3 linked regions of the Danio rerio genome follow. The protein of the gene in region 3 interacts with the protein of the main gene of each other region in a pairwise test. Links are inferred from orthologs where the notes say so. Each region holds a gene or a part of one and is shown on either strand. Other genes may lie near its edges. The genes, in order: lnx1, dmc1 and kctd17.

Region 1 (11,097 bases), on a different chromosome or scaffold from region 3:
GAATGTCTGCAGCCCCGCCTCCATTTTCAGATGTCTCCGTTTTCCCCATCCACACTGAGATGGAGCAGCAGCGTTTTAGAATGAAAACGGCCTCTCCAGCATTTTCGAAACGCTCCATTTTCAGCGCTCAAAAACTCCGGCGTAGTCTGGACGGATGGCGTAACCGTGGCAAAACTTATTCGTTTTAAAACGAAAATGCATTAGTGTAAACGGGGCCTGAGAGAAGATCTCATGAGCTCCGCTGCTGCTACTATTGGCTGTAGCTCAAGAAAGTCGCTTTTCATTTGTATAACGTTAAAGGATTCTCAACTTTGTCGCATCACTTGACATGTCCACTTATTCGATGTTGCTCACATAGATGAAGGCGGCAGGAAGTAGCTTACTCTTCATTAAAATAAATGGTCACTTGTTACTTTGAGGTGAGTGAGGATCACGTGAGCTCTACTAGTGCTCCTATTGGCTGTCGTTCAATAAAGTCGTTCTTGATTTGCATAAAGTTAAAGGATTCTCAGCTTTGTTGCATCGCTTAACTCGCCCACCTGGTCGGTAAAGTGTAGATTAGATACGTGGCCGGCTGGAAGTGCGATATGCACATAATTATAGCAGCGTTTTTTAATGACACTGTACAACAATAATATTTTTACAGTACTGTGATGGTTGGGTTTAGGGTTGGGGTGGGAGAAGGCTTTAAAAAATAAAACATATTGGGTAATTTAATAGATAACATAAATAATACTCGGTACAACTACTGTTTTTATGTTACTTTGACGGTTGGGTTTAAAGTTGGGGTGGGGGTAGATGTTAATAAAATACAATAAATGGGAAATTTAATAAATAATATAAATAATTCTTGTTAACCATATCCGATCTAGCAACAACCCACCTGGTCACCAATGGTCGCTTATGTAGACGGAGGTCATCAGAAGTTGCTCACTATTTTGTTAAAATGAACACTCGCTTGTCGATTTGCCGCTGATAGTCACTCTTAAGGTCCGTGCACACAGAAACGTTTTTTGCTTGCGTTTTCCCTCAACGTTTAACGCCTCTTGACTAAATAAAGGGCGTCAATGTGATTGTGCACACCAACGCAAAAAACGTCATTTTTTTCTGTTGACACATCATGTCAAAACCTTCTCCACCAATCAGGTTGGCACTTTTGTTCATGTGCACGGAACTGCTAAAGTTACAGTAAATAGCACTTGGTGGCGCTCAAGCGCAAAACGGTCAATGTGAGCGTATATTGAAGAAGATGCCCAGAGGCGATATGAACGTGGAGCTGCTTATTGAACTGGTGAACAATAATCATTAATGCATTGGTAGAGCTGGAGCTGCTGCTTGAACCATTCATAACCACAAGCGTGTCAACTTTGTCTTCTTCTTCTGTGTTACAAGCGGGTGTCAGAAGCTTAAAGTTGTGTAGCGCCATCTAACGTCAAGAAGTGATTTTGCATACTCTCCTGCTTGACGCCAGTGAAAATTGCTTGGGGTTGAATCCGGATAAAACGCTGACGATAAACGCAAATGAAAAGCGATGTGTAAGAGCCTTTAGTGTGAATTAGGCTTGGCTTTAGTCACACACTGCACTCACATGTTGCACAAAATCACATTATTCACTTATTTATCCTAAGCCACTTACAAATAAAATCTATTTATAAATATTTTTCTTAAATACACAAATGTATTAGAATTTTATAAAATTATTTTTGACTACTACTACTGAAAGTAAAAATGCATTATTACTGTCCAGTAAAATTAGTTTTTTTCTGTCAATATTAATTTGGTTTAAAACTCTTTTTTTTTTCTTTTTTTTTTTGTAAAGCACAATTCTGCAACTTCATTCAGCTTTTTCCACATTATGGAAATCATATGGCATAGCATAGGATGGAATTCAAAGACATGCAAAAAATAACATCCAGATAAATAGCATCCATATTCGGAATGACATGAAGGTAAATGCCAGCAATGAAAAACTAGTAATTATTATACAATATGAACTGTCTCTTTAAGAATGCCAAATTTGCATGACAGCAAAAAAAAAGGGTTCATTGGAAGTGAAAGTTGGAGGTCAAGGACCAGGGAAACAAATGAATGAAGGAAAAATACAGTAATAACATGGTGGGAGAGTGCATGAGAGTTGTTAATCTCTCTCTGTGCTGCTCTGTGTCCTGCTGCCCGTCCATATGGCTGTGTATGTATGTGTGAGAGAGTAAAAATGAAGGAGAAATTGGATGCAAGGTGACTGACACATGCCATCATTCATGTAACAGGACGGCTGGATTAAACAATAACCTCTGCGTTGCTGTTTTGTGACTGCTGCTGATGGTTTATATGCGGGTCTGCCAGGACAAAGACACAGCTTATGACTTCGGACCACAGATTGCTGCTTTATCTGTAGCAGGAAAGCCTGGTTTAATTATCTGCCTAAGCCCATTAACAGAGCAACAGACAGGACCATTGTGTAGCATCTTTCTCTTTGTCTTACAGTCGTTCTCTTTTTCTCTATACGTATTATATTCCAAATGCATTATAAAATAATATAATCTTGTTCTAAACTTGTATGCAGTTAATTAACCTTTTCTGTACAAAACAAATGCAGATTGTTTTTTGAAAATTGGCAAATTATTGAATAAATAAATTAATCAATGAAGACAGACAGACACTACACAACTTGCATCTCTTCTTCAAAACTATGAATGATGTATAAGCATCTCAGGCTGACAGAAAAGAGATGAGGTGGAGAAAACCTAAAGTGAACTAAGACTGTTCCCACCTCAGTTGACCACTGGCTACTAGTCTCCAATGAGTCTGTCTTATATAACAGAAGGAGATGATGTTTCCTTCTCAGCTAATCACTCAAATTACTTCTGAGGGCCACAGAGGAGAAAAGAGCACTTCACATTTACTGTACAGTTCACACCAGGTAGAGCATGGTACGTCCATCCATCCATCCATCCATCCATCCATCCATCCATCCATCCATCCATCCATATATCTATCTATCTATCTATCTATCTATCTATCTATCTATCTATCTATCTATCTATCTATCTATCTATCTATCTATCTATCTATCTATCTATCTATCTATCTATCTATCTATATATGTCTGTCTATCTATCTGTCTATCAGTTTCTATCAATCCATACATCCATCCATATCTGTCTGGCTGTGTTCGTCCATCTGTTTTTTAAATTTTCTAATGTCAGTCTATCTGCATCGTCTGTCAATTTTAGTCTTCGATTGTATATGAGAGTGGTAGTTGTCATCACAGAAAACTCCTAAGCTGTAATTTTGTCCCGACACACTGCCAATCGACCAGCGAGGGGTAATTGCCTTTCTTTAGGCTGCCAACAGGATTTGAAGTCTTTCATCAGCACCTTAACAGAAGCCGAGTGAAAGCAGCCGTTGTTCTTTTAGGGCGGTTATTAGGTTTGCACACCTGAGGCACTCCAATCAGTGGTCAGAAGTAAGTGAGATATACAGCCAGTGTCAGACCCTCGGCCACACGTCTCCTTTCTCTCGCTCTTTTTTTCTCTTATGGCAGCTATGAGGGTGAAGACAGGCATGAATACTGAGACAAAATGCTTTATTTTAAAGATGGTCCCCAAGGCATGGCATCTCTCCCAGTGCCGTATGCATTTTTTTGCCTGTATATGTCCGTCCATTGATTTATCTCCTCACAGCCGGCCCTCAGAGAGGCCTGTGCTCCAGTGGCCGCCATAATAGTTCCATCATTCACTTTACAAATGTTTGAGGTGAATTTATTGTTTTCTTTTTTATTGATATTACCTATCTATCTACCTATCTATCTATCTATCTATCTATCTATCTATCTATCTATCTATCTATCTATCTATCTATCTATCTATCTATCTATCTATATATCTATATATCTATCTATCTATCTATCTATCTATCTATCTATCCATCCGTCCATCCATCCGTCATTCTATCCGTCCATCCATCCATCCATCCATCCATCTATCTATCTATCTATCTATCTATCTATCTATCTATCTATCTATCTATCTATCTATCTATCTATCTATCTATCTATCTATCTATCTATCTAGCTATCTATCTATCTATCTATCTATTTATCTGTCTGTCTGTCCGTCCATCCGTCCGTCCGTCCACCCATCCATCCATCCATCATCCATCCATCCATCCATCCATCCATCCATCCATCCATTCATCCATCCATCCATCCATCTTCCTTCAACACCAGCCATCTAGCACCGCTCACACTAAAAGCTCACTGGTCCAAAATAAAACAATAAGCATTTTTGACCGGATCACATCACACAACAGATTCTGATTGTCTATTCACTATTTTTCCAGACAAATTGCCTGTCACTAGTTAGGAAAGAGTAAAGTTCAGGGATGCAGAGTGGATCAAACCTATGACCTTGTATATGAGAGTTAGCCTAGTTGCATTTACTGGCTAGTCAATGCAAACATAGTGACATTTAAAGAATGCTTTCAAGTAGAAATGTATGCCGCAAATGTATTTCTGGATGCGCTCCACTATATAATCCGCACTAACATCTGCATGTGAGTGTTTATGAGTACAGTAATGTTATGAAGAGATAGCTTTAGTGCATGATTTGTTTTGTAAGGCAAGAAATCTCATTTCAAAGGTGAGGCCTTTGATATTCTACTCTTAGTGTTTGTTTGCTTCCTGTGGCGAACGTATTTGTTCTCTGGTCTCCTCTATGATGGCACAACATAATATATCAGCTACACATTGCACAAAATTCAGTTCAAGTCCAAATACACACCCTAGCGACGATGTGATTACTAAGTCTCCTCTACGTGACTTTGCTTTCCTAATTGGCACATGGATGATGACATTTTCATTGTATGGTAATGTATCTTGCTGACCCAGTTGTCATTGTGTGTGTGTGTGTTCTCACAGGTGTAAAGGAGCGTCACACTATGGACTCTCTGCAGAGAGAAAGCGTCGCTCTCAGGAGGGCGACTGCACAGACAGCACCTCAGAGCTCACTCTGGCAGCACTGCCCGGCGAGGGTTGCCCCTCCTCAGCCATCGCCCTCCTATCAGATGAGCCTGGCCTGGTTAACCCCGCCTATGAGCCCAGTGTGGAGGATAACAGCCAATCCGGGAGCACCACCAGCCTGGCAGCACGCAGCGGTTCCCGGAAGAGTGAGTGTGAGTGCACACAGTGTATTTGTGTGTATTTGTTTATATCTTAAAAGTGTTGTGTGTATATGTGTTTGTGTGTGTGTGCATGCAAAAGGTTTTATGTATCCTACACTATAAAGAATGCAGAGTTCCACACAATGCATTTATGTTGTCCCAACACAAATCGATTAAGTTAGATTAACACATTTAAGTGGACTGAATATAAAATAATTAAGCTGTCCCCAAAAAATCTCAAGAATTGTGTTGTTTTAGCTCATTTTAAATAAGTTGTTTGACCAAGCAGCAAACACATTGTTTTTAATGTATATGGGTAATTCTTTAACTACGGGCACTTTTATGTCCTTTGATCATATATCCAAAAATATATAGAATTTTGTCAAACTTATAATAAAACTTAATTTAAAAAAATTTACTAGCTATATTTTTTTCATATTATTCAACCTCTTTTTAGGTGTCAAAATCACTGTTTTCGCCTTGTCGCACACTCAGAGTATTATACTTTAACAATATTAATAACATTTTAAAATATTATGTAGCTGGTAACTTTTAATGTATCTTAATTAAGTACTTGTAAAATAGGTTAAATATTTTATAGTTTTTAACGTAAGACTATAATCAATAAAATTTTATACTTAACATAGCTGTCGCACAGTTTCAGTGTCATTTCCAACTTGTAATGTCGCTTAAAAAGGTTTGTGTGAAAGATTGTTTAGGTGGTTTCTATGAAAATGATTAGTGACATCAAAACACATGTTCAAGATTGAGGGAATTTTTATCAACAACACTTGAAGAAAAATCAAGATAAATATTGCTTGATAAGGAAATACATTAATTTAGTCATTCCCAAACATGCTGTACCTTCAAAGGTGTTTTTAAAAACCAAACAAAATTAAGGTAAATAAGAGTGTTTTGTATACATGAAACGCTAGTATCAATTCAAAGCTAATCGGTGAAGCTATCTTTAATTTTTTAACAATAAACTGTAGAATTGTCATTTCCTCCTCTGTCATTTCCATCCATCCATTCATATACACACACACACACACACACACACACACACACACACACACACACACACACACACACACACACACACACACACACACACACAAACACACACACACACACGCACACACACACACACACACACACACACACACACACACACACACACACATACACACACACACTAAATTCAACATTTTGCATTTAAAAATTTTTAAATATATAGTTGAAGTCAGAATTATTAGCCACCTTTAGATTTTTTTTTTCTTTTTTAAATATTTCCCAAATGATGTTTAACAGAGTAAGGAAATTTTCACAGTATGTCTGATATTTTTTATTTTGGAAAAAAGTCTGTATTTTGGCTAGAATGAAAGTAGTAAAAAAAACAAAAAACATTTTAAGGTCAATATTAGCCCCTTTAAGCTATATTTTCTCTTGATTGTCTGTAGAACAAACCATCATTATATAATAACTTGCCTAATTACCCTAATCTGCCTAGTTAACCTAATTAACCTAGTTAGGTCTTTAAATGTCACTTTAAGCTGTATAGAAGTGTCTTGAAAAATATTTAGTAAAATTTTACTTACTGTCATCATGGCAAAGATAAAATAAACTAATTATTAGAAATTAGTTATTAAAACTATTATGTTTAGAAATGTGTTGAAAAAAATCTTCTCTCCGTTAAACAGAAATTGGGGAAAAAATAAACAGGGGGACTAATAATTCAGGGGGGCTAATAATTCTGACTTCAACTGTATGTTTTTGAATTGCTTTTATTCTAAGATTTATTATTATTATTATTATCATTATTATTATTATTTAGTATAGCACCATTTTCTTTTGGAGATGTTCCATGCAATTGTCTTTTCCTTTCTCACAATTATTGAGAGAGCTACAGCATTCTGAGTAATGTCATTTATTCAAAGTTGCGCTCTGCACCACTAATGTCATTTGTAATGCAAAAATCAATTCAAACTGCACATCTATAAAGACTCTGCTGAGACACATAAATTATTTAGCATTTAAAGACAAAGATTAAGAAAGAGAAAAGTGTAAATGCCATGTGAACACTTTATGACCTCCACACATCGGTTTCAGTTTCTGACATTGCCTCAAAACGTGAAGCATGGAGAACGGGGACAATAAATGCTGCTGCCCCAGCAGTTCTGGCTTTAGGACTGAAAACAGTGTGACACTGCAGCTGAACAAGCTGTCTGCATCCACTCTGCCCAATGCCATTTTAAACCTTGTTCAACAGGACTGAATGACTGAAAGAGTTGAAAAATGCAACCATTGTTATTAAATTGAACATAAAGAACATTTGAACACCATTATATTTGTTTACCGAAACTTTCATATGTGATGTCATCACACAGACATGCAGAAACAGTATCCAGCACAGCTCTGTGCTGATTCAGGTCTGACCTGAGGTTCTTACTGCAGTGTCCACAGTTCATCATCAGCAGGTGCCGCCAACTTATCCAGAATATGTTTTACACAACGGATGCCATTCCAGCTCTCCCCATTTCTGGGAAACATCCATCCATACACACTCATTCACACACATACACTACAACCAGTTTAGTTCATTCAATTCATCTAAACCACATCGTCACCTTGGAATTATAAGATTCTATCTGCGTTCTAAATGATTTTGAGATATTGAGCTTCAAAGTTTTTGCATTCCATATAGCAAAGAGCAAGTGTGTAACATTTGTTTTTTAAATAAAAAGTCTTAAAATGTAAACAACTAGGCTAAATTGTCCATAGTGAGTGTGTGTGTGAATGTCTGTGTGTATGTTTCCCAGAGATGGGTTGCGGCTGGAAGAGCATCCACTGTGTAAAAACTTGCTGGATAAGTTGGCGGTTCATTCTGAAACAATTTTATCAAAAATGTCTCAAACTATTATACAACACCCATTCTTGTCAATTGACAATTTTGAAAAAAACTTTTAGATCCACTTCATATGTTGACTATACAGTTTTAAGTTGTGTCTGCTAATTTGATCTGTTTCTTGCAAATAAATTATATCAATAAACAAGCTCAAGCTTTCAAGTTTCAAGGTTTCAGGCCACAATAATTTTACGTGATCTACATTAGACACTATAAAACAATATACTGTTAGATGAGTTATACAATTGCACTGGTATTTATGGACAGACAATAAAAAGGTTTAGACCCTCACCTTGTCAGACTGTTGTCACTTGGTTTATTTAATCAGGCGATTATGTAAAATTGAGACTAGTAAACCATGCCAAAAGGATCTGTCTTAGGCCTTCTTCAGTTTTCAGAATATATGCTGCCTGACTGATTGTAACCAGAATGTACAAAGGACATGTCCAGACATGCTTGGGCAGAGAAGTTTCTCTCTCCTCCTCCTTTCTCAGTCACTTTCTTCATTTCACTCTCGCATTCATTCACAGATCGCAACTTCGACAGGACGTCGGTACGCAGCCGCTCATTTCGGCGCCTGAATAGAGCCTTCAGTGTCCTACGGAGGACCAAGAGTGGGACAGCAGTGGCCAATGACACCACAGAGGAGCGAGACAACCTCAGAAATGCCAACATACCAGCAGAGGGTGAGTGTGAGTGTCCAAATTTTCTATTTTCTCACCTGGTTAGGCTGAAAATATAGGTAATGAACAAACTGAATGCCAACTTGGGACCAGTTAGAATCAAAGAAATGTAGCCAGAAGACCAGTTAGACCAAATTAAACCAGATAATAACAAAGCTCTGTTTGATGCTATCTTTTGTATTATATTTAGTATTGGTGTTAGGGTCAACATGAAATGTAGCAAACCTGTTAGTAAATGAAGTATAAAGCCCCGTTCACACAATATAAATTTATAATGAAATCTTTATTTATATCCAGAATACAGTATAATTACATTGTTTCTTAACACCAAAACACATTTTTTGAGATGTTGACAGTCATATATATGTCCCACGCTGCTAAAAACACTATTAGGACACATTTACTTCACAAAAAAGTGAAAATTGGTTGTTTATGCATTTTTTGAGCAAATTCATTCTTCAAGTTTCGAAGCTACGTCAAGACCATGAGATCCTTGTGTAAATTCTCGCCTGGAGACTGGATGTCTGTACCAGCCAGTGCAACACCCACTCATACACTACAGACAATTTAGCCTAGTTGTTTAAATCTTTGAGTCAGCATTAATTAATGAGAAATACTTCCAAGTCTTTTTAGACCACCAATCAGCCCGCTCTATTGTGAATAAGGTGCAACTTCATTAATATGCATGATAAGCTTCGATGACTGTTTACCTGTTACAGTGTTCAGACTTGTGCTGCCAATCGTAAACCAAGTGGAAGAAGAAAATTGTTTGGAGACAAGGGTTGTCAGTGTTGTTTAAAAATGTGCCACAATAAAAGTTTTGATTACATTTTCCAACAATGAGAGTGAAGCTGCATGTGGACATGTGGATTACAGTGGTCTGCTAACAAGCGACAAAAAAACGTTTGTAAGGAACATTTTTTATTCAAGAGCTTTTCGGTTACACGGTTTCAGTTTGTGTTGATTGTCCTGTCTTTACGATTTTGGTAAGTAGGCAAGATTCTGACGGTATGATAACCTTAAAAAAGTATCATGGTCTCACAGTTTCACGGTATTACGATTACTGCTCTAAAATATGTTCTGTGTAATTGTCTAAACTTTTTTCTCTCTTGAACACAATATATTTTAGTTTGAGAAATATTTTTAAACAGTAAACATGTCAGACTAAACTTCTGTTTTGTTAAATCTTTTCAAAAATAGATTTTTTATAATTTAAAATGGCATATTTTGCTATCTTTTCTGTTGGAGATTCTGTTGTCCTTAAAAAAAAAAATAAAAAAACAGAAAAAAAAAAATCTTACACATACCTTAGGAATGGTATTGCTGAAAATTTTGACGGTTTTAAAACCTTTAAACTGCGGTATACCTTAAAACTGGCTATTGTCCCAATTGGTAAGTGTGTGATCTATGTTCGCTGTTTATGTTTATTCAGATGGCAAAGTTCTCTTTCAGTTTTTAAAGTTCTCTTTCAGTTTTTAAAGACATACCTTGTTCAAAATGATTTAGTTACTAAGTTTACAGTACGTTAATATCACTTCAATATTATGGACTGAAAGATCCGCTGTAAATGCTGCTTTCCTAATGTAAACATGTAAACACCTCAATCTAACTATTATCGTCATGTAGGATTTTCAGCGCATTTTGTGACAGGATAGTTTGTACACACATGTCACTTACCGGTTCCTTGCTTTGACCGAGAAATGCGTATGTTTATTTTTCTCCCATACAGCATGCAGTATTAAACATTCCAGTAAAACAACACTCTTCCAGCAGTTCCTCGCATCCAATATCTCGTTAGTCACGGGGGGCTTGCATGAAATGTTTCTGAATGAAAGTAAAAGTGCCAAACTGCGGTTAAAGTCGACAAATTAAGAATGAAACAACTGAAACTACATGAAACTCTGTGGTAAATGTGGATAGCGTAGTGACGTGATGATGTTAATCATATTATGTGCTATAACATGTAAAACGGGATCATGAAAGGAACAATCAAAAAGTAACTCATGTAAACACTTTTTTTCATATTATTGTTTTATTCAGATTAAGGCAAATAATTTGATGACTGATGTCCATGTTAATGTAGTCACTGTCTGTCTCCCCTATGTCTGTTTTGCCGCTGTCAAAATCAGAGCATGCATGTACTGAAATTCCCCTTTTCATGCAAACCCTTCCCTCTTTCGCCACTCGACACTCCCACCTAAACAAAGCTGGACACCCACTTTCCTCACTATTTTCAAACTATAGGTGTGAAAATACCTTGTTGAATTGGGGGGGGGGGGGGTTCAAGGCCCTTTCAAAGCACATGGTTAAGTTTTGTAATTTGTTGAATGCTCAGGTTTGTTGGTTGGG
Region 2 (11,812 bases), about 320 kb from region 3:
GTTATTGCATGTAATTTACTGTTATTACTATAATACATGCATGATTTTCAGCATGTGTAACAAATACACTGTAAACTAAAGTGTTAATAATATAATTTAGCAATATCTTGAAAGATAATTGAAGAAATTAAAATTATTTAGCTTGTATTTAAAAAGTAACAATGGTCTAGAATCTCACGAATTCAGGTCTTGAATTCATGTTTAAATCATTTTAATGTAACATCTGAAATGTAATAACAAACTGTTTAAGTTTTATGTACTGTCAATTGTATGATCCATGTACAGTCGTTTGATACACTGTTAAACCATTTATTCCACTTTAATTGTAGGGTTGCATGTCTTTTAGGAGGGAATGTCAGTCATGTGGGTGTGAAGCAGCACAAAGCTAAGCAAATAATAATGAAGGAATTTTCAGTTTTGGGTCAACTTTAAGTCAATGAATCTTTACCAAGCCACAATGGGGCCTAAATAAATATTAGAAGGCCCCAGTGAGCCTTAAAACTATTTTAAAATAGCTATATTAACATAATTTTAATTATAAAGCAAATAATAATCATCATAATAGTAAGATAGACCATTAAATTGAGATATTTCTGTTTATGTAGATTTATTACAACAGAAGTTAACAGAAGTTGTTATTACAATTAAGTGTTTTATATAAATACACTCTTAGATATAAAGTTAAAAAAGTGCCTCTTTGAGACACAACATCAGAATCAGTGGAGAGAAATTAGATTTTTGTAGTATTTGTCATTACAGTTACTACTAGATAATAAAATCAGAGCTGTATGAGTAAGCACTATATTGTCATGTGCTTCTCTGGGCCAGTGACTGTGGCTGGAGGTGTAAGTAAAGAGATAAATAAGGCCTGTAATATGAGCACATGTGTGCTGATGTAACAAGCCCAAGTTGCCCTCTGTATGGCTGATGAAGCAGCATTAGTGACAGTGCAACACTATATCAGAACACAAAACCCAGGCGATCCAACAAAACTAGAACATACCCACTGGCTCCGAGATCTCCATGCTGGCCACTACATCGGTGCCTGTGAAAAGAGACAGAGATTATGACTATTTTACATTTTAAAACTCAGTTATAAATCTGCCATTGTAAAACTGCATTTAGGTTGTGCACTGACAGCTATATTGCTTAAATCACTATTCACTAAAGAAGTTGAATAAATTCCAATGTACAGATGAAAATAAACTACTGTAACAAATACAGTATTCCAAAAATGAATCATTTAATCTGACAAGCACAGGTCAAAAATTATTTGCAGGGAATAAAATGTTCTTCTCATGATCAAACTAAACTGAAAAGACAGTAAACTAAAAGATACTAAACTAAAACTAGCTTGACAGAACGTTTTTAAACAACTAAAGCAATGTTGAGTGATGGTGTTTTTATCAGTTGAAAATTCCTGAAGGGTTTATAAAATGTTATGTGCGTGATAAAATCACACAAATTAGATTTAATATGCTTCAAGAGACTTGTTTCTGATGCTTGTGCTGAACTGCAATAACCAGAATTGAGACAAAGGTGTGGAAAAAAAAACAAAAATGCAGGAACATTCTATCCTGTATGGTTGCATCTTGTGACATATCCTTTTTTAGGTTGTTTAGATGTCTTTGGTCCATGTTCAGTTTATGTTTTAGTCAAACCACAAAGAATTCAGATGATTCATACTTATTAAAATGAACCAAGTGTGAATTTACCAAGTGCCAAAGTCCAGACTCATTATGAATGAACTCCAACTCGTCTCATATTCAAGTAAATTTGTACTGTAATTTGACTGTCATTTTGGACTTGATCTGAGTACAGGTAAATGTCATGTTAAATGGGTGATAAAAATTAAATGGGTGATAACTTCAAACTTTAAAAAAGACAGCTGTTTGCTTGATCCTGATTGGCTGAAGAACATTCTAAGGTGTGCATTTCACACATTTCTATTTTCAGGGAAACATCCAGCTAGTTGTTCCAGGCATTACAGCTCCATACCACTATGCCAAATGATTTCAGTTATTTCACAGCCTAGACAGAGATTATGGCTGGACAAAATAAAATAAAACACTCAGTTTTAAATCTGCCACTTAAAAAAAACAACAACTTTATTTTACCTTAACTATGTTGTTTAAATCACTATTGTGGAAAAAGTTGTATAGATTCTAATGTACAGGTGAGAATAAAAACAAAATTTGACAGTAATATTGAATATTCTCAAAATCATTCACAAAAAACAGAGTCAGACAAGCAAAGTCAAATGCTGTCATCTAAACTAAAAAACAATAAAGTAAATCTGGCTTGACAGAACGTTTTAAACATTTAAAATAATGTTGTGTTTTTATCATCCAGAAATCAAAACTAAAGTAAAATACAACATGTGTCTTTAAGTGCAGAAACTGCAGTAAGGATAACATAAGGAAATAAGGGCCCTTGCTTAACCCAACATTATCATCAGCAGCAGCATTTTAATAGTAGGCCAACTTTACTACAGCTGTTCATGTGAAGTCATATACACACAACACCCATGAGGGAGCGACCCGATCCTGTGGAGAATAAAATAGCTAGGATACCTAAAATTGCATTTATCTCACTTATACATATTTATATTAATATTTCTCAGAATGGTTGCTTATTTAGGACTTTTAATAAGCAGACAATTCTGAGTAAACATTTAGCAGGAGTGACAGTTCATTTAATGTGTTCTTGTATGTCATATTATCATACATTAAATATTACTATTAAAATTAAATGTGGAGGACAAACAAATGTTCTGGTGTAAAGTCGGCGGCTAAAATTGCCATGCACAGCTAGCCAGGTGCTAGTTCGTGACAGAAAATAAATGTGAATGAAAGGGCCCTAAATCAACATATTATAAAGTGGTAACACCTGTTTATGTTTAGGTAATATCTTCAACTAGACTATGATAAATGCATTGTTAACTAACCGCTGGCATCTTATCTGCTAGCCTGCTATAAACATTTCCAGCTAAAAGTCCTTTTATGGTCAGACCGTATCGATGCTGTCAATCGGTTTATTAACGCTGTCAGTTTACCATCAGACGTGGCGTTTTCCGGTGGACCCCGTGAAAGAAAGGATGGGACGAACTCCGGAGCGTTGACGTTGAGCCCGGTGAAGGCGGACTGAAGTTCGGTATCAGCCGTGGCCTCAACATCGTCCTCCTGTTCCCAGGAATCAGGGGCAGTGTCTCTCGAGTCCATAGTGGCTTCACCTCGAATAGCTGACGTTTCTAGCGGCTTGCGCTATAAACCACACGGCGGTTTTGACCAAAACCAAATCTGCTATGTTTTCAGTATCTATTCCAGGTAAGGTGAGGGATTGGGGAACTCGAAAGTGTTGTGAAATGGTGCATAGAGCGCCTTGTCTTCATGCGACACCATGGACGTGTAGCTGCTTAGCTGCTCCTGGATCTTGCATGCGCGCAGTGCAGAAGCGTGGACTGTGAAAGCAGCGACCATATGTGATGATAACCACATCAGCAGCTTTTCAAATTAAGGCTGATGTGGTGAAATTACAAGTGCTTTGCATATAATAATAATAACAGACATATGAAATAGCTTGTATTTTAACCATTTTAATGTAATTGTATTTACAATATAACTTGACTTGTATAAATATATCACAAACTATTACAATTAGACCAAGTGAAAACATAAATGTGCATTGTATTAATTTTATGCAGAGATACAGGTGTATGATAAATTAAATAATAAATAAATAGGTACAGCGGATTTGAGTTTTCACCTGAACAGATTCCAGCAAGAACAAACTGGCGACATTTTATAACACTCTTTCTGTGCAGTTTTAGTCTTTTGCGTCTGTTATTCCTCCAGCCGTAATGGCAAAAGTAGCTTCGTTTTCTGGCATGTGTGGGCTGTGGAAAAGCAAAGGATTTCTTTATAATGCAAACATGCAAAGTGAATGATAACCACATCAATCTAAATATACAAATAAATTAAACTAGAAATGTGAAAATGTTTCACTTATGAATTCTGTTTTTTTAATTCAGAAATATAGTACAATGTATTATAGTAAGTGAATAAGGTTCCAATTTTTAATAAGGTTCACTTCTGTTTGAAAACATTAGTTAAGTAAAATTCAAAATGTAATTGTTTTCTCAAACCTTTTTTCAGCTCACAATTGACAATCTTTTTCTACAAATTGTGTAAACAGTTAGAATGGTCATTTAATAATCACCTTTTTAATTAGGCTTCTAAGAAACAGGCTTCTATACACATTGCACTGACTGATGCTAAATGATAAAACCTTATTCTAAGCCTAAGGTAAGGCCAGTTTATTTATATATCACATTTCATACACAATAGTAATTCGAAATGTGTTCAATAAACTCTGTATAGAAAATGTAGAGAAAATCCTTAAATTACCTGTCAAATATCTTGGCAATTCTCAGTTCAGCACGGCCTTTCCTCAGGCTGATGCGTGTGGTAGAGGCGTGTGCCAGTATGTGTCCTCCAATGGGCTTTTTAGGATCTGCTTGAAATCTAAGATCATAATAATTCATTTAACATTCATCAACATCTCTTTTTTCTTATTTGTTCCCCCTACTTACGTCATTCCAGCTCCTGGGTCTGCAGTCATCTGGTTTGTGACAAACACGGCAACATTGTATTCTATATCCCACAAAAAGGTTTATATTTTTATTAATAAAGTGGTGGTGAGAAAACTGAATTTAAGCTTACTTCAGCGGAGAGAAGACTGACTGCCATCATGTTATACTAGTACTGCTATTCTCAAATATGATGATTTCTACAAACCTTCAGAAATCTTCTGCAGTCTAGAGAGCATTTGTGCAAGCTTCTGCTGTCTCTCTGCCAATTCTCCTCTTCCAGAGAAGTCAACCCGGAACAGAGCCATTATTGAGTCTATTATCTGTGGGAAATTAAATGTTGATGGTCACAAGAATGAAGTGCCAGCATTAAATTATTTTTAAGATTTATATTTTATGTTTTCAAATATTTCCTGAGTGTTCTTTAATGAAAAGATTTTTACAAACATTTTTAAACATACATTTTAATAACTAGTTTGTAGTAACTTTTTTGTCCTCGCGATGATGACAGTACATAATATTTAACTAGTTTTTTTGCAAGAGGCTAGTATTCTGCTTAAAGTGCCATTTAAAACCACATGGTGGTTTCGTCTGTACTCAATTGGAAAAAATCGAAATAATATATATAGTCATTCATTCATTTTCTTTTCGGCTTAGTCCCTTTATTAATCTGGAGTCGCCACAGCGGAATGAACCGCCAGATTATCCAGCATATGTTTTACGCAGCAGATGTCCTTCTAGCTGCAACTTATTACTGGGAAACACCAACACACACACTCATTTACACTTATACACTACGGCCAATCTTAGCTTACCCAATTCACCTATAGTGCATGACTTTGGACTGTGGGGGAAACCAAAGCACCCAGAAGAAACCCCACGTAAACACGGGGAGAACATGCAAACTCTACACAGAAATGCCAACTGACTCAGCTGAGGCTCAAACCAGCAACTTTCTTGCTGTGAGGCGACAGCACTACCCACTGCTCCACCGCGTCGCCCCATATTATAATATATATATATTAGGTACACCTCCCAACTGCTCATTAATGCAAATTTCTAATCAGCCAATCACCTGTCAGCAACTCAATGCATTTAAGCATGTAGGCATGGTCAAGACGATCTGCTGCAGTTCAAACAGAGCATCAGAATGGGGAAGAAGGGTACTTTTAGTGACTGAATGTAGCATGGATGTTAGTGCCAGATGGGCTGGTCTGAGTATTTATTTGTATATAGTCTGAGGAATATTTCCAGTATCATGTTGAATCTATACCACAAAAGATCAAGGCAATTCTGAGGGCAAAAGGGGGTCCAACCTGGTACTAGTAAGGTTTTAAGTGGCCGGTGAGTGTGTGTGTGTGTGTGTGTGTATGTGTGTATGTATTTTACAGGACTAATAATTTAATAATTTCACCTTCAATTATACATGCAGCATCACCTTTTTTCTCACAGTCCACAACAATTTATTAAAGGATTCAGTCTCTAAACACTGTGTTATCTGCTCTGATTTGCCAGAAAGTGCACTCTGCTGTGACTGGTCAACAGCTTACATAGAAAAGTAAATTCTCATTACCATAAATGCTATAAACTACTATTTGTGACAAATTTGTTTAAGTTTTGCAAGAGGTAAAACTGTAATAATTGACCAGCTTGAATTATTTTTTTACAAACGAACAATAGCTGCCATTCATGAAACTTCTCAATAATTTGTGTGTTAAATGGAATTTTCAGGAATCTATATTCCAGGTGAGCAATTTATGTGTACCAACTAACAATTTTAAAAATACAATCAGTTTCATTAATCCAAAAACAGCTCTTTTAGCTTTTTTACACTTAACTATAATAAATGTTTAATAAACTTTAAGTAAAAGCTCTACCTAAAAAGTTACCTCAGAAGATTTACACATTCTTCCATCTCTTACCAGACTCACCAAAAGCTTGAAGACACCACCTTCTTCATGAAACTTGGCTGCAACAAAATCTAGCAGTTCCATCTGATGCTCACCTCAAAAATTAAAAATAGAGACAGATTTGTAACAAAACACACAACACACATTTTGTGGCTCCTCTTTGTCTAGCCAAATAGATTCTCAAGTAAAATGACACACAAAAACTAAACAAAGAAGTAGCAGCTATTCTTACTGGTATACGCACGTGCATAAAGCACATTGTCCAGAACAGCTTCATGATCCACATTGAATCTGTCAGCGATGTCCTTCAGCCTCTCAGGCCGACTGATGTTCACAATTATTAAGGTAAAAAGTTCAGAATGACTTCTCCATATGAAATGGATTTAGTAAAATGAATCACTCACACACAGCAAGCAAATGCACAAATGATACAAGGTGTTTTCGGTATCAATGAAGATGACCTTTCCTCCTGTGTACCCAAATTCCCCAGGAAGCTGAGCAGTAACTGAAGGGAAAAAAGAAAACAAAATGATGTGAATGGTCTAAAAATGAGAATTAAATTCCGCATTTAACATTTACACAAGATTCATTCTTACCACACAGAGTATGTGAGAGCTGAGTCTTTCCAGTTCTGAATTCTAAATGAGGCATGGGAAACAATTCACAAAGACAAAAACATATCATTTTGGCAGAAGTGATGTACGGAAAATGCCTAACATATCATTATGGTTTCAAATCAAAACATCACCCTACCACCAAAAGCCTCGGTGATGGCCATACTCTCCACACCTCCTCCAAGGAGTTTGCTAAAGTAAATATGAATAAACCGTTTCTCCTTTCATGTCAACAATGTAAGACTTTCATCGGAAAACATATATAAAACAACATGTTACTGCTTGTACACTGAAAACCTTAATAAGTTGACTGAACTAAATGAATAAAGTAAACTCTTTGCCTCAGTTTATTGGAGTAAATGAGTCCTCCAAAACTTACATATTTCAGTTTATTTACCTTGCCAGTTTTGTAGATTATACTTAAATTGTTCAGTTCACCACACAAAAACAAATTCTAGCCACAAATAAAATTTGGTGTCTAAAAATGTAAGACCTATAAAGCTTCTTACTCAAACTCCAAACTGCCAGTTGTGATGTGAAACACTTGCTTTCTCTTGATGCAGTATTCAGATGCTGTCTGGAATCCGCATGTCTGCATGAATGAACAGAACATATTACATTTACAACCTCCTTGATCGATGAGTAGTTACAAAATACAGCAAAAAATATATAAATCATGTCAACCAACACATCAAATTACCAGCAACTTTCCAGCGGCTTCTTTAATTTTGTCCACTTTAGCTTCAGAAAGTCCCTTTATGTTACAGAGAGCACGGCGTGTGGTCATCTGGATGCCTTTCACCGTACAAATCCCTACAGACTTCAGTTTCTTTATGTCGGCCACGTTCTTCAGAAAGATCATTATGGGTGAGAACCACTTTCATGATCATTTCATAACTTCATAATAACAACATTTTACTTACAATGCCATGCTTCTGCAAGAGCTCAATGTCTTGAAAAAAGGATTCCTGGAAGAGATTTGATAGCAAATGTTCATCACATTACATAGAAACAACAAATAAATAAAAAACAAGTGGGGATTTTCAGATTTAAGTTGAGAAACTGTAGGTTAAAAAATCATGTGCTTGTCAGTTTTGAGAATTTGGGGTTTTCATAAAGTGTTTATCAGTCTTATGTAAAGATAACAGCCAAAATACAATGTGAGTGTTTCTTTTATCACACATTTTTTTTTCATTGGGCAGTGGATTTCAATTTCAATATTGTCAATCAAAATGAGTTTTCCTCTTCTGTACTGTGCCATAAATCTCCACTTTAGCAGCATTCATTTTAACCAACTTTAGTTTTATTCATATCTTTAATCTGAAGGTTTTAACAGATCGATGTGCTCATAATTAGCCTGATTATAAACAGTATTTTATTCTACAATACTTTATTGTTGTTACTGGTTACAGTCTTTTTCTGAATTATGAAGTAAAAAAAGAGATACCTCTAATATGTATTAATAACGACTATTCCATTTAATGTTTAGGCTGTGTTAGAACTGTACACCACTTTACTGTACAGTTGTATTTTATGGTTTTGACATGAGTGTTTTGCTTTATGCACCATTATGATGTTATATTTTTTATAAACACAAGACCTAACACGGTTAAATAAAAAAGCATGTTTTTGCACGATTGAATGGGCTGTGGCTGCCTGAAAATGAATGTAAATCACCTCATCATCTTGGTATCCCGACTCCTCTTCCAAAGTTTGTTCCTCCAAAACTTTCATACTTTGAATGAGACAAAAAGAACGTTTAAGTTATAATAAAATACCTGTGATTTGGCATGCTATTAACCACGTAATTTGGTAACAAGTTTACCATAAATCATTTAAAACTTGCGGCTAAACCGGCTAATTTACATGTACGTTTTGTTGAAGCGCTGTGATAAAAAAATGTGTCTTGTTCCTTGTCATAACGTTGTTAATTAATTATTTTTAATTTTTTTTAGAACAGAAATTACATTTTACCTGTCGTTTATTCCTGAGAAGAAGCTGAAAGAAATTTCGCGCCACAATCGTATGTTGACACTTTGGCTCGGCGTGCACGCGCATCAGTCCCGCGCCCAAGCAAGCTTGCTACATAAAAAAATGTATAATAAATAAATAAATAAATAAATAAATAAATGTCGTTTTAAACTGCTTTTTACACTGTTGTTGTTAAATTGTTAAAATATCTCTGTTTTACCTTTAATGACAAAAATTGACCAAAAACATACAAACTAATTTTTTAGGTTTATTGTTACAGATAAAATGTTACATTTTAATTTGAAACTTGTTTAGGAAAGATTTTATTTCAAAGGTAGGTGATAATTAAACAAACACAACTATAAGCATGAAAATTAAATAAAGGTATGATGACGAATACTTCAGCTTTGCAGCATGTGTGTATTTTTTAGCACTTAAATTATACATAAAGAGGAAATAATCACAACACCAGACACAATAAAGTACATTGTTGAATAAATATATTTTTATTGTTTTCTCATTGTGTTCCATCCTTCTCCATCTCCTCTTCCTCTTTTTTCCTTCTCCCTTTCCTTCAATCCTTTTTCTATTTAAACTTCTCCTCCTCCTTAATCTTGTCATCCACCTCCTCCTTATCCATCGTCTCTTCTTTTTTCCTTTTCTGTCCTTCAATCATTCTTGTCTTTAATCTTCTCCTCGTTAATCGCCATCCACTTCCTCCTTCTCCATCATTCTCCTCCATCTTCTCTTCATCTTTTTCCTTCACCCTCTCCTTCAATCATTCTTCTCTTTAATCTTCTCCTCCTACTTAATCTTGTCATCCACCTCCTCCTTTTCTATCATTGCCTTCTCTATCTTCCCCCTTTTTTCTTCTCCCTTTCCCTCCATTCATTTTCTTTTTAATCTTCTTCTCCTTCTTAATCTTATCTTCCACCTACTCCTTCTCAATTATTGTATCCTCCATCTCGTCCTCCTCTTTCTTCCTTCTTGTCCTCCACCTTAATTTTGTCCACTTCCTTCTTCCCCACTGGATCTCCACAGGATGAATCAGGTTGCTGCAGCTTGAGGTCTCCTTCCAGCACAAACCAATCCACTACTACAAACCCACAGTGCTTTGCAGTGCCGCACAGCTTTATATAAAGATTGGAATAATTTATAATTAATTGTTATACTGTAAAATTTTTTTTTAAGAAAAATGACTAAGAAAATGTCAGCTGGATAAACTATTTTGAATGCAACAAAAGCTTTTTTATTTGTGAGTCTTAAAAAAATATTTATTCGAAATGTATATATTTGGTGGCAAAGGACTCAAAAAAGGTTTTGGGAAACTCAAACAACAAGAACTGAAATTTATTTACTTCATAAATAAATTTTAAACAAAATATTAAGACAAATATGTACAGTTGAAGTATTTATTAAACCCCCTGAATTAAAAGACCCCCTGGTTATTTTTCCCCCAATTTGTTTAATATAGAGAAGATTCTTTCAGCAGATTTCTAAACATAATAGTTTTAATAATTCATTTCTAATAACTGATTTATTTTATCTTTGCCATGATGGCAGTAAATATTATTTGACTAAATATTTTCAGGACACTTCTAAAGGCTTAACTAGGTTAATTAGGTTAACTAGACAGGTTAGGGTAATTAGGAAAGTTATTTTATAATGATGGTTTGATCTGTAGACTAGAAAAAAATATAGCTTAAAGGGGCTAATACTTTTGACCTTATGGTTTTAATTACTAAACCCTAAAACTGTTTTTATTCTAGCCAAAATAAAACAAATAAGACTTTTTACAGAAGAAAGAAATGCTATCAGACCTACTGTGAAAATTTCTTTGCTCTGTTAAACATCATTTGGGAAATATTTAGGGAATTTCTGACTTTAACTGTAGTTTGCAATACTTAGGCTACTACTGCATATTGCACATATCAGCAGGTTCTTTTTGCACCGTTCCCGCATGTCTGCAACTCCTGCTGCATCACATCAGGTTATCAGCAGTCAGTCACAGAAACAGAGATATTTGGTCATTTGATGAGTCACACACAAATTCTGATTCAGTTTGCAGTACACACACATACATGCACATTTAACTGTTTTTGCATGGGCAGCAAATGTAAGTTAGCCATTACTGTACATGATAAATCAGATTTAACATCCACAAACCAGAACTCCTGTTGTGTTTAAAGCACCCTTATATATAGTTGTACTGTCATCGTGCAGCTATTGTGAATCTAGTAGATATGAATTACGTTTTCCTTTCTGTTCTTTATTTTAAACATGCACTGTTTTGAAAATGTTTTAAACTTGTTAAACTCATTCTTGAGGTGCAGTTGATCACAGAGTTGAAACAGATCTTTTAATCACAGTTTCTCTGCAAATCCTGTTCTGTGAACATGTTTATAAGCACTACTATGGAGACATGTTAATGTGCTACTGTCAGTCAATTCGGTGGTTTGGTAAAACCACATTCCTATGTCACGTTCCTATTTTAAAGTCAGAAAAAAAAATATCTTGTTGCATTTATATCACTCTGATGTGAACGTGAACACACTATACCTACACAGAGTTATGCCCAAACAGCATCCAAATGTTGATTTTGCACCATAGGTGCCCTCTTAATTGCAGTTGTTAAAGTACGCTTTCTATTACGTTCTGGCATCTTTTTAGCTTACTTCAATTAACAAAAATAAATATGTCTTTAGTTAATAATCTAATCGTTCTGAATT
Region 3 (11,097 bases):
AGCTACGAAGTCACTGGTAGTGTGAACGGAGCTTCCTTCAGAAGAAATTGAACCTTAAAAGGATAGTACACACAAAAATAAACATTAGTTCACCCCCCACTTTTCAAACATGTTTGAATTTCTTTTTGTTGAACACAAAAGAAGATATTTTGAAGAATGTTGGAAACCAGTAGCCAATGACTTCCAATGTAGCTTTTCAATGAGCATGAATACAAATTATGCACACAACTGAATTAGATATATTTCATCTGATAAGAACAAATATGCCTAAACTACAGTGGTAACATGTTTGCTGATATATTACAGTATGCAAAAAAATTAAAAAATAAATAAATCATGTAATAACAAAAAACAGTGGCATTAATAGACAAACCAGCAGACTGAACACAGTAAAACATCAGAAACGTTGTTTTGGTCATTCTAAAAGGCCTTACCCAAAGACTGCCATTGTTATTATTACCTACCAGAAGCATCTTGAGCATCCCATAGACGGGTTGCAGCTCTAAAAGCCATTGCACATTCATTGTGTTTGTCTTCATCTTCTGAGACTCAAGTAATTTTATATACAGTTGAAGTAAGAATTATTAATTAAAAATAATAATAAAAATTCTATTTTAAATATTTCCCAAATTATGTTTAACAGAGTAAGGAATATTTTACAGTATGTCTAATAATATTTTTTTCTTCTAGAGAAAGTCTTATTTGTTTTATTTCGGCTAGAATAAAAGCAGTTTTTTTATCCTCCAAAAGCCATTTTGAGGTCAATATTGCTACATCCTTTAAGCAAAAAATGTGTCCGATTGTTAACAGAACAAACCATCCTTATACAAAGATAGTTTAATTATCTAATTTACCATAACCTGTAGAATTAACCTAGTTAAGCCTTTAAATTGCACTTTAAGCTGATACTAGTATCTTGAAAAATAAATAGTACGGTATTATATATACTGCCATCATGGCAAAGAAAGGTTATTATAACTGTTATATTTAAACTAAAATCTTCTTTCCATTAAACAGAAATTAGAGGAAAAAACTAAATAGGGGGCTAATAATACTGACTTCAACTTTATAAGGAAAAAGGTTCACGGTGAAAGGTTTCCTAAGAAAGAAATTTCCATTTGTCTCTTTGACATTTGGCAACGGTTATCAGGAAGTGATGATTTTGTTCTCTTAAAGTTTTTTCGCAAATGTTTTATGCAATTTCAGGTTTGCACATGAATCTAATCGCATCTTTGGATTGAATCCAGTTTCCAACATTTTTCTAAATATCTTCTTTTGTGTTCAACAGAGAAAGATATAAAAATCAAAGATTTGTAACCACTAGAGTGAGAGTAAACGGTGATTAAATCTTCATTTTTTGGATGAACTATCTCTTCCACACATGTGACAGTATAAGCACGTTAGCTGAAAATAAACTAACTTCATTAGAAGTAAACGGGACCTATTCAAAATCTTCAAACAGCATACAAACACAACCAAAATGTTCAGGAGCCCTATTAAATCTAGCGACCTCCAATGAAATCATGACCTTCTAGCCGGCGCCAACCACTATCGAAATAAACTGCCACAGATTGTAAATGGGGTAAAGTGGACCGCTGGTGGTCTGCCAGCCTGGAGCTGCTGGCACTTTACCCAGAGCTGATGCTAGATTAACAGGACATGGTCTGAGTATACCACAGTAAATGTGCAAAACCTAAACAGTAGATGCAGTCTCCTATCCACACAGCCTTTATATTATAAATTACAAATTCTATTTCTGACCAATCCCAAGTTGTTTAAATGCATGATTTTAACTTGAATATCCCATAAATAACTAGGTTGCACTCTTTGGTAAAGGTCATGTACTAAGTTGCTAACTTTCTATGTAACTGTGTCTTTTCCTAATACCTCAGGTGCCTTTTGTTGAATTTGTTTAATTTCTTTTTTTGCTGCTGGTTGTGAAGGTCTTGTTTTCCGCTAATACCCGTTGTTAAAGTCACCAAATCTAAAAAAGTATGGCTATAAAAACAGCATCATGAGCACATGATAAAATGGTTATCTAAAAAAATAAAGTTCTTTGTATTCTACATCCGGGACCCATGGATCTGGAACAGCTGAAAAAGAGTTGAAAAACATATTAGTGTCACAGCAATGCAGCTCTGTCCAAAAGGTTGAGGTCAGTAGTTTTTTTATTACATTTTTATATTTATTACATTTTTTTCCTAGCAAAAATATTAAGCCCCATCAATTTTAACCATGATTTACAGAAGATACCTATTATAATGTAGGTGGAGATAAAGTTTAGAGGTGTTTTTTTAAAATATAATACTAATTTGATGACATATTAAATTACTCTTTTTAAAGGCGGAGTGAACAGGAAATAGCTAAAGTGTTTATTCCAGTATGTTGATGCGCTTCCAATAGACTCTGCACAGCTAGTGTTTTCAGCCAGCAATAAACTTCTGGTGCGAGCTTAATGCTACTGATTTCAGTTTCACAAGGTTCCTTTTACAGCATCGATGTTGTAATATAATTAAAATATAACGAGTTAAATAGACTTTTAAATAGGCTTTTTTAAAATAGACCAGTTGGATAGCATTTTAGTTGTTCTAGCGTAAAACTGTTAAAAGAAACTCCATTGAAAATACTGAGGTAAAATAAATGTACATATTTAAAGACATGGCAGGGGAAAATATAATTTAATGCAGAGCTTCTTGTGGGGTCTGAGACCCACTTTATATTGTATATCTTACAGATTGTGAAGATCACTGATTTTTAAATTAATCAGATCTTAAATGTGACAATTTTATAATGCAAGACAGTTCACCGGAAGCGCTTGGGCTGGCTGACTGAAAATTAAAAGTCTGTGTGCATAAACCCTCACTGAAATAGAATTTTTCTTTTTGCGAATCATTCGCTCATTGCAAACTAACCGTACGAGAGGCTTAAGAATGTGGTTAAGAATATTGCGACTGAAGCCGTCAAACTGACATCAACAGAGAAGGACCACTACGCTAAAGATGTCAGCAAAGTGTCAGACTTTGAAGATTACCAAAACAAAATTTCGGTTAATTAACTTGAATCAATTAATTTCAAATATCAAATAATTTCATACAGATTTTCAGGATCATGGTGCACATGGAGCATTATTTCACCCATATTTTGACATCAGTCATTTTACTTCACTATTTTACATTTAAATGCCTGCCACGCAAATAAAATTACTTTTGCAAATGCAATTTTAATTGAAACCAAAATCAAGTCATTTTCTCATTTCAATTATACGCAGTGCTTTTGAAACTTCTTTTAAGAACCTAAAAATATTAAGCAGCTCAACTTTTTTTTTCAACATTAATATAAATAAAAATAATAATAAAAATAATCGACATATTGGACTCATTTCAGATCATGTGATACTGATGACCAGATTAATGATGTAAAAAATTCAACACAATTCATGACAAGAATTAAATACATTAAAATATACTTACATACAGTTATTTAAAATATATTACTGCTTTGATTAAGGCCTAATTCCAATTCTATTTCTGTTTTACTAATGGCCAAAAAAATATTAATTTGTGCATCTCCTGACTTATGGCTGTTGTAGATGGTGTATTCTGGGAAATTTTTATACCCCTTGGTTTCGAGTGTAGTCCTGAAAAATCTCAGTTTCAAGGGCTATCTAGCCCTTCCCCTTAGCCCTACGCCGTCAAACTAAAAAGAACTGGGACACTCCTACCCCTTCACGTGAATGCACAAAATGAGGAAAAGAATTAAGGGGAAGGGGTAAAGGGGTAGAACTAGGATTGGGCCAAATGCAAACCTGATGAGTGACGCATTTAAAAAACATTTTTAAAAAAAAGCTTATGACCCCAAACTTTTGAACGGTAGTATTAACACAAAATCTCTAATGATTTCTGATAATGACAGAGTGTGAAATAAGCCTCCGCTCCTAGTATGCTCCATGTAATTATGACAGATCGTTTTTGCTGAAGATGTGGATATGAGTGGGAATGGCAGTGACTCATGGGCAATTTATGGAACAGACGCTGTGCTAAATATTAAACAGTCATTCGGTTGAGTCATTCGGTCACCATTTCTGGTCTTGTGACCTTTACTAAAAACCCCATTTTAAAATGACATCTATTCAAATTGATATTCACAGCTCAGTACCAAGCAACAGTTTGTCTGCACACATTTTGTTCAAAATAACTACATAAAGGGATAGTTCACCCAAAAATGAATATTTACTCACGCTCATCCTTTTTGAATTCTTTCTGCTCTTGAACACAAAAGAAAATATATCGAAGAAAGCTAAAAACTAGTAACCACTGACTTCCACAGTAGGAAAAACAAATACCATGGAAGTTAATGGTTATGGGTTTCCAGCAAGATATCTTCTTTAGTGTTCAAGAGAAGAAAGAAACTCATAAAGGTTTGGAACAAGTGAAGTATCCCTTTAAAAAGGAAAATCATGCTTGGTTTTTGCTAGGAGATGAAGGTTATTGCATTTCATTGCAAATTGTCCTCATAAAAGACGAGTGAAACTATCCATACAAGTGCTTCTTGAATATTTATAAATCTGAAGACCATTTTATTAGCCAAACAATGGAATATGCATGTAGAATCATTTCTTTGTTTATCTCTAATGTAGTGCACTGAGATGCAATTCACCAACACTCTCTGACTTGTAGAGTTTTGTGGATCTACCACTAACACAACCAACACGACAGCATATCCTCACCAATTCCTTTGACTCAAGTTTCTGCTAATCTCTAATCCACTCATTGGGGGATGAATTTCTCTCTCCCTCTTCCCGCTCCTCCTCCTCCACCTCCTCTTCCTCCCTCGCTCCATCCTCCTCTTGTGTGTCCGACGTCTTGTTGTTTTATGAATGGACAACAGGATGAACAGAAACCAGCACGACAGATGATGGCATAGCAAAAAAAATTGAACAAATCATGAATTTGTGTAGTAGAAATGATCTTAAAGCTGCTGATGTGGAATGAGATGGGAAGTGTGCATGTTTTTGTGGCACTGGCAGCTGTGGTTACAGTGAATGTGAAGTGCTATGGCTGTGCATGTGTGCGTAGGAGCTCCAACCTTAGTTTTGTGGCTCTGCTCGGTCCCCAAACCTCCAGCCGAGGTGTGTAACTCTTTTGACACCACACAGAGAAATTCAGCCTGGTCCTCCGTTCCGTAGCTGTAAGATGAGCCAATGTTCACCATCTTGAAATCCAAGAAACCAGAGAGAAAGAAAGAGAAAGAGAAGGCCTTTTATTATGATAGGTAATTAAGATCTGAGGATTGGGGTGAGGACCATGAAGGAAAACATTAACGTGGATCAAATGCCTAATGAGTTGCACCAAAAACATTCTTTTTGTGATGTTTAGAGATACGCCAAATTGGTCTAGTCAAAGTCGATTCGACAAACTAAAAACATCAGCCAACAGTGTTTTTAAAGGTCCCATGAAATTGAAATAAAGTTTTTTAGTATTGTGTGTTTTAAAGACATCTATAAGCTAGTGTGCTCTAAAACGGTTACAAAATTCGTTTAGAAGATATAAACAACACCTGCACACGTCATCATGAGGGATGGGTACCGAATCTCAGTACTTTATAAAGTACGGTATCGGTGCTGCATTATAAAAGACTGAAGTATCAATAAGTTCTGACGTTAACGGTCCTGCTATCGGTACTGGAGAATTATTGCTGAATAAACATTACTTACAGCAACATAATTTAACTGACCAACCTTTTTTAATTTGCGATATTTGATATTCGTCTGCACAGTTAGCAATCTCACATGTGAAATGCTCATTTTCACTTTCGTGCGAGAAGTATAAAATCCTTCACAGCTTGTAAGCTTGCATGACACCGACAATGCCTGTTGCAACAAACACAAGTTGTTTTCTTGTATAAACGGAAACGCAAGCAATCTGGTTAAGTGAAAGTGTCTTTTAAAAGTGCATTAACTGCAATAAACAGTAATGAAAATTGCCTAGCTACTAACGGTAACGTTACATCATCCTTTGTTATGCCAGCAGTCAATGACCTAAATTAGTCTAATATTATTAATTAATAAACACACACATTCTATACATATTTCTATACAGGAGTTATTATTATGGATTATAGACATGAAATTTATGTGGTTTTAAAAGTCGTTTTATTTTTATAAAGCATGACGGTAAAACACGAACGTCATTATGAATGCATCAAAACATATGCTTGTTTGTTGTTAAAATTCTTAATAATTGCAAAAAATACCAATTTGTGCATCTCCTGACTTGCATGTGCAGCCATGTTGCCATTGTAGCTGGTGTATCTACCCTTGGGTTATCTAGCCCTTCTCCTTAGCCCTACACTTTCAAGCTAAAGAGAATTAGGACACTCCCACTTCTTCACGTGAATACGCAAAACTAGAGATAAGAGCTAATGGGTAGAATTGGGATTGGGCCCAACTTTGAAACCTTCAGTACCACAGAACCTTTAAGTGTTTAAAGGTAGACCTAGGTAAACCTTTAAATGATGGTTTCTTTTTATAATTATGCATAATGTTTTCTACCGTTTTTCAATGTTATGAACAGTTATTCCATAAGACATTATGGATTATTTCATATTACATTATTTTGCTTTTTTGCACCAATGTTGTTTAGGTCCTTCAAAATATCTTTTGAGCTTTTTTGATAAGAAAGAACAAAATTATTGCAAGCTAAATAATCCCTTAAAAAAACTATGTTTTTCTCACGGTAGAAACTCATAACTAGAAGATACCAAGTCAGAATGAGAAAGCCAATAAAAGCAGTACAAATATTTGCAAGACATTCTCAGAATTGGAACTTTGTTGCAATCACGTTCTTCAAATGGAGAGATACAGTATAACTTGGATTTGTGAGGGGAAAAAGACCATGCTGCGGGAAATTAGGAAGAATAAAACTTGCGAGACGTAAACTAATAATAAAAGTCTGATCAGATATGCCATATATATATATTTAATTCAAAAACAGTATGCGAGAAGTACCCGGATGACCTACTACTTCTGGCGAAATTCTAAACTGTGCATCCAATGCATGCTGCGTGCATCCATGATGCAGAGCGAGAGAATTCATAAATGGGAGTGAATCGACACAACTAATGCGGGTAGGTTATGCTATCATGATCAAATGGTAGATGTAGTATGTCTGAGTTCCATTCATACTGCTCACATTCATACTGTATAGAAAGCCCTTTCTAACGGTCGAGCAGTAAATTCAAATTTAAATGCAGTACCTACTGAGTAGTAGTCTAGCCATAGTCTGCCATTAAAAAAACATAATATTATTAACAAAAATTGGTGCAACTGACCTTGTAAAATCCCTTTGAATAAAAAATCCAAAAGTTTAATTTGACACTTTAGCTACATTACTGGACTCTGAATCTGAGGGGAGAATTGGACACTGGGAGCATTAGGATCAGGGGAAGGGATATCAACTCCGTGTCAGTCCAACCCACAGTCCAGAGCAGTCCGGGGCGGGGTTTTCGGCAGGCGCGCACGCTGACCTGCTCAAACTTCCAGCCGTCCGACATGGTGGACACCATCTGGGTCAGTTCCTCTTCCTGACACTGCAACACCCGATACACATGCTTCGGCGGTACCTGCTGTATGAGAAACACAGGGTGAAAACAGTGCGAGCAAGAAATGCAGTGGGATGATGCCAATAGGAGAGTATGAAAAAAAATAAAATAAAAGAGCGAGAGTGGGCGGAGGACTGGTGGCTGTTGCATAAGCACACAAATATAGTCACAAATGTACAGTAGAATAAGAGATTAACTGAAATATAGTACTTGGAGAAAAATAACAGATAGAAGGAAGCAAATGCACTGTATTGGAGGCTCGATAAAGGTTTGCTCATACCTGCGTGGCCTTTGAGTCGCGTTCAAGAATCCTCTCTTTGATTAATTTAATCAGCGGTGTGATGTTGTAGAATTCTGCCTCCTCCAGCACACCTGAAGGCACAGACACACTCTTTAAAAAAATGTCGATTTTATTACAGATTTTTATTACTATGCGTTTTTCCAACTAAATAATGTTGCAAACTGAAGACAATGCAAGAAATGAATTATTGTAAATGCTACTAAGAAATTGAAAGGTATGTTTATGCACATCATTTTCAGCTCAAATTAAATGTGTGTCTTATGCAGAGTTTACACCTTTCAAAGTTCACCGTTGTTCTCACAATATTGTTGCAGTGTTCACACTGCGTGATGGATCAGTGACAGGCCGATACACACTGCATGACTATACCATTTAAATAATCACTGACAGCTTTGTCTGGCTCGCAAACACATAAAAAGTGATAAGGAAATAACTCAAGATCAGGCGTGAGACTGAAATAGTAGCCTGCATAACGTTTGCCATTCAAATGGTCTGTGCGCTGATTTGCAGCAAAATGGCAAAAATATGGATGAATATTTCTGATTTGTTTCTGTTTAATGTTATTGTAACGCTTACTTCTTCTGAGATTGTGGTCTAGAGATCCCTGCTGCCCTGTATCTTGCTCTTCATTTGCTGAAGGTCTTTGCTGCGGCCTTTTTCCAGTCAGCATTCATTTCATAAACCTGATTTTAAATTTGTGACAGATATTTAGCATGTATCTCACGGCCAACAGCTGTTCTCTTAAACCAGCTCTTTAATTGTTCAGAATGTGTGATTATCATTTAAGTAAATGAGCACAGACTTTCAAACGATTTTGGGCATTTTTCTGCGATTTCTCAAAATCTGTTGGCGAGTGAAAACCAGAGCTTAAATTGTGCAGTGTGAACTCTGCATTTTACATTTATTTACATGACAACAGTGTTTTGTGAGCCTAAAATCAAGCTTTTAAAACATGAAACACATAATGTGTTAATGCACATTTGTACAACACGAGTTCAATTTAAGAATTCCTTAATTCGCTTTAGGTGGATTTATATTCGTGTGAAAGGATTTATGGGAATAATATAAATACATTTGCACAAAAAACTCTGACATAGTGAACATTATACCATCCTTACATTTAGAGCTAAACGATTTTTGATCAAATGAAGATCATTACCAGTATTTATTTTGTTGCATTAGGTTTTCAAACAAGATGCTTCGATCAAATTTAAACAAACGTCATAAAAAATTTGGTAAGATATTGATATCATATGCTAAAATAAAGGTCAATATTGAGACATTTTTGATTATCCTTCCACAAGCTTCTTACAATAGTTTGAAGGAATTTTGGCCCATTCCTCCTGACAGAATTGGTGTAACGGAGTCAGATTTGTTGGGGAAAAAAATAAACCGCGGTTAATAATTCTAACTTCAACTGTTTATACATACATACATACATACATACATACACACATATCCAGTTGAAGTCAGAACTATTAGCCCCCTTGAATTATTACATTTCCTGTTTATTTTTTCCCCAATTTTGGTTTAACGTAAAGAAGATTTTTTCATCACATTTCTAAACATAATAGTTTTAATAACTCATTTCTAAAAACTGAATTATTTTATCTTTGCCATGATGACAGTAAATAATATTTGACTAGATATTTTTCAAGAGACTTCTGTACAGTTTAAAGTGTCATTTAAAGGCTAAGTTAATTAGGTTAACTTGGCAGGTTAGGTTAATTAGGCAAGTTATTGTATAATGATGGTTTGTTCTGTAGACTATCGGAAAAAAAAGCTTAACGGGGCTAATAAATTCGACCTTAAAAGTGTTTTTTTTTCTTTTAATTAAAAACTGCTTTTATTCTAGCCAAACTGAAAACAAATAAGACTTTCTCCAGAGAAAAAATATTATCAGACATACTGTAAAATTTTCCTTGCTCTGTTAAACATCATTTGGGAAGTATTTTTAAAACAAATTGTAAAAATCAAAGGGGGATAATAATTCTGACTTCGACTGCAAAAAAATATATATACATGCAAAACATTCTACCCACGCAGCTCCTGACTGAGGTCTTAAGAAGTGAATCGATTAATCTTTGCAACAAACTATATGTTATTTACAGCTGTATTACCCGTTATTCGCAGCTGGTGCATCCTCAAACAAAATCCAAGTGCGTCACCTTGTGTGTGATTTTTGTAGCCGCGAATATGTCATTATGCAACATGGCACACAAAGACAAAATTTACATTTTAGGTTTTAGGTGAATTACACCTAATCAATACAGTAAGCTGACTCTCAACACCATTCGCAGTCTGTCCATGTTGCATAGCAACATATAGTAAATGGTGTAGAATCATAGAAATTCAGATCCTGATCAGGTCAAATGAACATAGCAATCTTTTACTGAATAATTGTGCAGCTCTACTTATCTTGTTTACTGTTGCTTACTAGGTTTCCAATACTAGAGTCGGCCGCACCGAAGTTAAGTTTTTTTTTTCTTTTTTGTGAACTATGAAAAGATTTGCTTCCAGGGTTTCTAGAAGTTAAATTTACAACTTTAAGACATTTTAAGACCATTATGAATAAAATTTCAGACTCAAATGGCCCTAAACGTTAAGGGTTTTTTCGAATGTTAATTTATTAACATTAATTAATAATACAAATTAATAATACAATAATAATAATAATTTAATAATTAAAACAATTAATATTTTAGTTCATTCTGAGCAAAAAAAATTAAATATTGTGTCAAAACAAGCAAGCTCTAGTTGTATACAGACACTTTATTTCAACATTACCATTCTTAAAATATAAAAACCAAAATTGAAAAAATGTTTTGAAGGTTTTAAAAACTATAATAAATTAAATGCATGCACAACAGTCTGTCCAGGTCAGCTCACTTAGCAGTAAATACATGGAGAACTTTTAAATAAATGTTAATTTGCCTAAAATTCTGATTTTGATATTTAAGACTTTACAACGCTTCACACTAGTCTTTATCCATCTTCATGTCATAATAATCTAATCAAAAAAATCACACTTATCCCTGGTTTAGGTGCTGTGCATATTCTAATGAAAATGAGCCGCTTCATCACTGCTTTTTAAAGGTCTATGGAATTTAAACAAAAAGTTTAGATGTTTGGTTAGTTTCAGTCTGTTCGTTTTAAGCAAATCTGATAGCAAAACTGACAAAATTTGTGTTTATAAA

Evidence for each region.
Region 1: the proteins of kctd17 (region 3) and lnx1 interact in a two-hybrid assay, tested with the Homo sapiens proteins (2 studies listed by BioGRID and IntAct). The link is inferred for Danio rerio from reciprocal best matches to the Homo sapiens genes KCTD17 and LNX1.
Region 2: the proteins of kctd17 (region 3) and dmc1 interact in binary tests that used the Homo sapiens proteins (3 or more experiments, as listed by UniProt). The two-hybrid records come from large-scale screens. The link is inferred for Danio rerio from reciprocal best matches to the Homo sapiens genes KCTD17 and DMC1.

Annotation. Positions count from the first base shown.
Region 1 is NC_133195.1:25,254,719-25,265,815, forward strand, and holds part of lnx1 (E3 ubiquitin-protein ligase LNX), read left to right. Parts: intron 1-4,918; coding exon 4,919-5,166; coding exon of another isoform or gene 5,167-5,172; intron 5,173-8,595; coding exon 8,596-8,751; coding exon of another isoform or gene 8,752-8,757; intron 8,758-11,097.
Region 2 is NC_133187.1:21,019,923-21,031,734, reverse strand, and holds dmc1 (meiotic recombination protein DMC1/LIM15 homolog), read right to left. Parts: upstream 9,504-11,812; 5' UTR 9,304-9,503; intron 9,195-9,303; 5' UTR 9,087-9,194; intron 8,848-9,086; 5' UTR 8,847-8,847; coding exon 8,790-8,846; intron 8,081-8,789; coding exon 8,036-8,080; intron 7,960-8,035; coding exon 7,813-7,959; intron 7,705-7,812; coding exon 7,622-7,704; intron 7,305-7,621; coding exon 7,252-7,304; intron 7,137-7,251; coding exon 7,095-7,136; intron 7,004-7,094; coding exon 6,931-7,003; intron 6,823-6,930; coding exon 6,731-6,822; intron 6,594-6,730; coding exon 6,520-6,593; intron 4,912-6,519; coding exon 4,797-4,911; intron 4,653-4,796; coding exon 4,592-4,652; intron 4,524-4,591; coding exon 4,407-4,523; intron 3,896-4,406; coding exon 3,826-3,895; 3' UTR 3,580-3,825; downstream 1-3,579. Other genes in the region: gspt1 (eukaryotic peptide chain release factor GTP-binding subunit ERF3A), read right to left, coding at 1,004-1,045, 3,056-3,221. UniProt on the Homo sapiens protein: Participates in meiotic recombination, specifically in homologous strand assimilation, which is required for the resolution of meiotic double-strand breaks.
Region 3 is NC_133187.1:20,698,815-20,709,911, reverse strand, and holds part of kctd17 (BTB/POZ domain-containing protein KCTD5), read right to left. Parts: intron 7,972-11,097; coding exon 7,880-7,971; intron 7,624-7,879; coding exon 7,477-7,623; intron 5,212-7,476; coding exon 5,086-5,211; intron 4,862-5,085; coding exon 4,751-4,861; 3' UTR 4,727-4,750; intron 2,094-4,726; coding exon of another isoform or gene 2,064-2,093; exon of another isoform or gene 54-2,063; 3' UTR 1-53. UniProt on the Homo sapiens protein: Substrate-adapter for CUL3-RING ubiquitin ligase complexes which mediates the ubiquitination and subsequent proteasomal degradation of TCHP, a protein involved in ciliogenesis down-regulation.